Regions from separate parts of the Mus musculus genome. Here region 2 is reported to be linked to region 1. The links are microRNA targets in miRTarBase. Many come from high-throughput screens and were not tested one by one. Region 1 holds a microRNA gene; the other region holds the end of a gene's coding sequence.
The links. Region 1 holds the annotated microRNA mmu-miR-9-5p (UCUUUGGUUAUCUAGCUGUAUGA, at 985-1,007, opposite strand). A microRNA usually pairs through its seed, bases 2 to 8, with sites in the 3' UTR of a target mRNA and lowers its output. Matches are read on the target gene's strand: a 7mer-m8 pairs with bases 2 to 8, a 7mer-A1 pairs with bases 2 to 7 and ends in A, and an 8mer does both.

Region 1 (3,260 bases):
TCGGAGCGTCCTGCCGTTCACATCTCCTGCTTTCCGTTTAGCGGAATCAATTAGGCAAGACAGACCCTCAGATTCCCCACCCCCTTTCCATTTTTGTCAGGTCTATATACGTCCTAATTATTTCAGTTTGGGATGCCAGAGCTGTTTCCTGGATAGACCTGATCATCCTTAAACAAAAAGAGAGGAGGCGCACACGTGGGTTGTGGCGTAAATGTCACTTTCATTTCCAATGCTAGGCGCAGAGTAAGACAGAACATTTTTTTAACACTTTGACAAGAGGGGAGGCGATCTCGTCTCCATCATGTCTTTCTGCTTCAGTAGCTTCCTCAAGGAAACCCTCTTGGAACAGAGAAGCATCTGTCCTTGTATTTTGAATAGAAGAATAAAAATCAGCCTTTGCCCCCACCCCTTTTCCCTGCTAGCTCTAAGTCTTCGGTAGATATAAATTATTAACCTTCCAGTATAAGCTTTACTGAAAGTCTAACTTCACAGAATTTGATGTACACACCCAAATACATAGAAAGTTTCCAGGCACAAGCTTCAAACTTGGGGGAGGGGCCTCAGATAGGAACAGCCCAAATCTACATAATTATGAAATCATTTTTAAGCGAGGTACCAGACATCACTATAACAGCTTTCTAAGAAAAAAAAAGAAAAAAAAAACCTCATATGTAAACGTTTGCTTCAAAATGAACAATATAGAAAATACATGCATCGTCACCCGTAAAAAACACTACACAATTCTCCTCTCCAGTTGTACAAGCCCCTCAAAGCCTGGCCCCTTTAGATTTCAATATGCGTGTCACTTAATTTTCTTGCATCCCACTTTCAATCATAAGATAAAAAAAGTTAGATTCAATAAGCATTCCTGACCTTTCTGGTTTTTACTGTCTCTTGGTTGCAGTCTTTCTTTCCGGAACGTTCCTCGGTGACCTTGAAGGAGTTTTTACTTTCGGTTATCTAGCTTTATGAAGACCAATACACTCATACAGCTAGATAACCAAAGATAACAACTCGCTTCCCTCACAAGGCTGCCTTCCTCTGGCTGAACTCCAGATCTCGATCCTCTTTGGCTTTAGGGAAGCGTAGTCCTCCGGGGTACTTGCCGCGTTTAAGCTTCTCCTTTCATGTAAACATGACCTGGTTTCTGTCTTAGTGTGTGCGGCTAGAACATCCAAATGAGATCTGTTGCATTCAGAGTTTATTCCAAACTTTTCCCCTTCCAGCAAGTAATCTCCAGTATCGTTAGCCAACAATTCATCTATGAGTATCAGAAATTAAGACCAGAGACTAAGGTGCAGCAAGCTGTTGGGGGTGAGCAGCAGTGTCCTTCTCTTCACAGGCCTCTATTTGCATTGTAAATTGCTTCATTCTCACGGAAGATTCTTTAGCCTTCCTCTACTGAGATGTATAAAGCCATCGGCAGTTTCCAACGCTGGTTAAAGAGGAAGAAGGGGGAAATCCCATTCTATAGAAGTGACAGCTGATTCAAAGATCTGCTCCGGATCATTGGGTTAGGCATCATGATCTTTTTTACCAAGTGCAGGCAGCTTGATTGCACATATCTTGTATGTGAATGTTTTAAGGGAGATCCTCGATTTCTTAGGACTTCTAGGCGGGCAGAGCATGCCCTCTTGCTGGCGTACTGCTGCCCCGGTCTGAAAGAAGGAGAAAAGGGCCATCATTGGAGGGGCTTTCACCGCCAAATTGTGGACCAGCCCGGCAAGGTCAAAGGTTTGAGACTGCGGGAGACCAAGGTAATGATGATGTCATGAGAAATCTCAAGTACATGGTTATTGATATGCATCAGTGGTCACCCAACTGCCCCACGCCTGCTGCCAGGAGTAGCACAGGCGACGGCGGCGGCGACGGCGGCAGCGGTGGCGGCGACGGCAGCAGCAGCTTTGCAGCAGTCCCTATATTCTCAATCAACATTTCATCCACTAGCACTACGGACTGCTCCTTGAAAAGCAACCCGCGGCCTTTTACCTCCTTGGCGCTAGTGTAGATCGCTCTAATATCCAAAGAATGGAGAAAATCTCTCTCTAAGGATAGATAAAAGCATTTCAGGTCTGGGGAACTTCTTTGCCTGCATTTCTCTTCTGGCAGATTGCATAGGCAGGCAGATGGAAGGCACTTTACTATTGCTTAAAGCAGGGCCTCGCTTTCTGGGGCTGGGAATCAGCTCTGTTTTTACGCAGTGAGTCGATGGTTACAATGACAATTTGCTTTGGTGTTATGTTTTTAATGGCTTTACAGCTCAGTCATGTTTTCTATCTGTGTACCGTGGCGATAGGGCAGCATATTTGTTCTGTAAGTTCGAACTGCACGATCTAAACAGTGGGGCTTCTTTTTTAAAAATGCTTTGCATATAGAGTGTGTGTGGGGGTTAGCATGCTGCACAGGTAAACATTGCAGCAATAGTTTCAATGTTGTACACAACTCTGCTGTAGCAAAAATGCTGAGCCTTTGTCTACTGTTTTAACATAAATTTCACACTGGACAATAATGCACTAGACTTGCTTATAAAATTAAAATAAAAGTCTTGTCTCCTGAACATGTAGATCCAACACCTGGATGGGGAGGGAGGGAAGCTACCACACCTCCCTGGCCCCACCCACTCATATCCTTCTATCGAGAAGCAGAAGGTCATTTCATTAATTAATTAGCTTCATTCATTGTCTTAGGAGTTTTTAAAGTGTGACTTTAAAATCACTTCAAAGAATCCTTTTCTTTCTCATCCTTTATAATAGATAATCTGTCTAGCACATCTAATATCTAACATTCAAATCCCTCTCAACAAAATATTCATGGTAATCTACATAAGAAGCATGTTCTCTGTGGGTAAACATTATGGATTATTGTTCAAATTACTAATTATTTTTTAGTAATGTTGCTTTTCTTTAAGTTACATGCTAAAGGAGAATTAGTAATTCTAAATGTACATTGCACACATCACCTGTGCCTCACAATGCTCTCAATTCCATAATGTGTCTATTTTCCCCAGTGGCTAAAATACTTTTGGATTTATTAATTTTTTTGGAATAAAATTTTTCTCAGTAATTCACTAATTTATTCATTTAACACATAAATAAGAACCTGGTTATTTAATCACATACAGAGCCCTAAAATCTAAACTCTGTAAAGAAGAGACTGACAAGTTTTTTTTGTTTGTTTGTTTGGTTTGTGTTTTAATGATAGGAAACATCTCCAATGAAGAGTTTAAACATATCACACCAATTAAGATATGGCTTACAGCT
Region 2 (3,260 bases), not on the chromosome of region 1:
TGACTGCACTCTCTCAAATGGTAAACCAGAGTAAGTTCTTCAGGCAGTTTCCCATCTCTAGATGCAGGAGGGAGCCCCATATGTAATATGCCAAGTGGAAAAGGAGCCACACTTCCTGATTACCCTTCCGGCCAGCTGTGCCCCTCAGGTGAGTGGTGTACCCAGGGCAGCGCCTGCAGCCTAGCTGCCAGCTGCAACCCCAAACCCTGTGGTTGGCTCACCTGTGATGCACCTGGGAAGCCCACATGTCGACCAGTAATGGGTAAGGCACACACTGAGTCAGATCTTAACAGCAGTCCAAACAACGTACTAAAGAATGCAGCAATCCTCCCTGTCACTTTCTGCTACTGTGGATCTTGAGAACGAATGTGGTGCCCATGGATGCTAGGCACACGCCCTGCTCCTGAACTATGGCACAAGCCCTGACAGAACTATTTCTAAATTACCTGTAACAGAAACCAAATTTAGTCTTTGAGACAGAATCTCATCATGTAGAAGCACGGTTACCCACAGTAGTGCAAACCCATACAGCTCGGGCCAGGTAGGAATCAAACTAAGATTGGGCCTCTGCCCAAGCAGAGCAGAAGCATGGTACAACAGAGCACTGGGCAGATAGGAGCTTGGGTTATGCCCCTCATGCCTGCACCAGCGTACGTTGTCCACTCTGACTGTCGTGATGCTTTGACTGGGTCCTGTCTGTCAAGAACTTGCTCACTTCATACTTCCATTGCTTTGGGCTTTGTTTTTAGGGGGGAGGGAGTTGGGGGATAAGGCAGGGTTGCTCTATGTATTCCTGACTGTCCTGGAACTCACTCTGTAACCTAGACTAGCCTCTAATTCACAGAGATCCACCTGCCTCTGGCTCCAAGTGCTGGGACAGAAAGGCACCTGTAGTCTTGAAAAGCTCACAGGGCCACGGCCTAGCATCAGTGAAACAGAAGGTCATAGATCTCACATCTTAGCCCCTAGCCTATGTTGCTATCATGGGTGGTGCCATGAAGTTTGCAGGAAGTCAGTCCCTTCCCACGCTGACTCCCCGTGTTCTGAACCTTCTCCTGACCTATTAGAGAGGGACTGGGAAAAAGGTATCATCACCCAGGCTGGGGCCTGGTGAGGGAGGCGGACTGCGGGGTGTAGTCCAGGACAGGAGAACAGCTGACTCCTTCAATGCCACACTCAAGACCCCATTGCATTGTTTATTCCATAACCAGTTACTTTGGGGATGGATACCCAAGGCATATAGACTGAAAGCAAAAAAAAAAAAAAAATCATAATTTATAGTAGTGGTTCTCAACCTTCCTATGCTGTGACCCTTTAATAGTTTCTTCTGTTCTGGTGACCCCCCCAACAATTATAAAATTATTCTGTTGCTACTTCATAACTGTAGTATTGCTACTGTTATGAATTATAATGTAAATATCTGATATGTGACCCCTTTGTGGGGACACAGCCCACAAGTTGAGAACCACTGGTTTACAATAACATATCCAGTTACACTCCTAGACAGACTCACAGGAAGACCAAGACATGAGGCATGTGGGACTGTGATAGAGCTGACAGTACTAAGGGTCAAGGCAGTCACACACTGAGCAAAATTCAGGGGCTTCATCAAACCCCTTTATCTCCTGGGTGGACTCTATCTAGTATGTGTCACATGATTTTGTGAATTTCACCATCGGGCAGCTATTTCTGTGTGTGGACATACTGTTTCCCCTAAGGCATGCTCGCATTAGCATAGTGAGGGCTGAAGGGATGCTATCCCAGACCAGTGGGCTTTGTGGAGGAGAGGAGGTGCTCCAGGCCTATTTGTATGAAAAGGCACTGGGGAGGAGTTTAGAGGAGGCTGGACATTACAAAGCTGGTTCACCCATTCCAGGGTCCACGGAGCCTCAGCTCTGTCTTCCGGCCCCACAGCAGTAACTATGAGCTGCACCACCCTTAGAACCCCAAAGCCTAGGTGGGCCACCCTCTTAATTCTCTACTTGTTTATTTTTAAATATACATTGCATCAAATGCAGGGTGTGATGCATGCCATTCTCAGCAGCCTTTCTTCTGAGGTGAGTCCAGCTCAACGCTGATGGCAGGTCAAGTAAAAGAATGACTCAGGCACACCAGTGGCCCAGGGCTGTAATGACTGCCGGCCTTCAAGGACTATAAAAAATATGGCTCACTGTTACTATGACTTAAAACTAGTGTAATTTTCTTTACGGTTATTTTCGGGGTGTGGTCTCGGTGGTACATATGCATGCCATGTGCCTGTGTGAAAGTCAGAGGATAGCTTGTAGGCGTTGGTCTCTCCTTCCACCATGTGGGCTCCATGGATCAAACTAATGGTGGTACCAATAAGCCATCTTGCTGGCCCTAGAATTCAAAATTATTTTTAAAAAAATGTATACAAATGAAAGAGCCAAATTGGGCCAGAAGACTGGGCCTCTCTGAAGGCCATAGTTATCCACTGTACAGCAGCCTGGCCTTCCTGATGCCTCCATTTCTGCAGCAATAATCTTAGGCTCGTGGATCACAACCCCTGGGTCTTGGTTCTCTAAAAACACATCTTGATTTTTTTTTTTAAACCTGCAAATCAGGGATCTGTCCCTGGCCTCTTTGGGATCTTTCTCACAATCTTGGGATGAAAGGCTACGCAGAGAGGGAAAATACCTCTCCCATGTGCAAACATTCCACTCCCTCACACACTACAAAGATAGCACCACATGAAAACTGTGTCCTGAAGCGCTGGCAAAGCTGTAGGGACCTGTTGTTCCTTGAAGCACCCACCACTCTCCACTCAGAGCTGTCCCCTCCTGCCCTTCAGGCTTTGTCACCACTTGATATCCAGGCCGTCTGTGCAGGGCTCCAAGCTCTGGTAGCTGGTGTGCAGCACCTCCTGGACTTTGGGAGATTCAGTACCCTCCAGCCACTCCTGGTACAACTCCTGCACATGTGTACTGCTCTCTGGGGGCCGCACAGGGATGCCGGAGTAGATCCCTTCCATTTGCTGCAGCAGTGCACGATCTGTGTGGCCGTCCTCTGTCTGTGCTTGGCCTCTGCCATTTAAGCAACCTGAAAGATACACACAAGTGGACCTCTTCTTCCCTCTTGGCCTGTCATGGGAGCTTTACCTCAGGGCACATAGCTGGAAGCAGGAAAAGCATGAAGCAGGCAGTACTAAATGGCTTAAGATTGTACTGGGGCTCACAGTATTGTCATGGAGCCTGCCCAGGAGAAGAGCCCTGGGTGTTCTTACCACATACATTACCCGT

Region 2: the mRNA of Narf is a reported target of mmu-miR-9-5p. Seed matches in the 3' UTR shown: 7mer-A1 at 2,602-2,608.

The regions. Positions count from the first base shown.
Region 1 is chr13:83,736,568-83,739,827 of GRCm38, reverse strand. It overlaps Mir9-2 (microRNA 9-2), which reads right to left and starts at 1,014; the gene lies at 943-1,014. It overlaps C130071C03Rik (RIKEN cDNA C130071C03 gene), which reads right to left. Exons shown (of 4, transcript NR_152245.1): 4 at 1-1,658. It overlaps Gm51268 (predicted gene, 51268), which reads left to right and starts at 952; the gene lies at 952-1,007.
Region 2 is chr11:121,252,481-121,255,740 of GRCm38, reverse strand. Narf (nuclear prelamin A recognition factor) reads right to left here. Exons shown (of 11, transcript NM_026272.3): 11 at 1-3,060. The coding sequence ends at 2,819. Among named protein-coding and RNA genes, the nearest start is that of Foxk2, 5.9 kb to the left of the region's middle.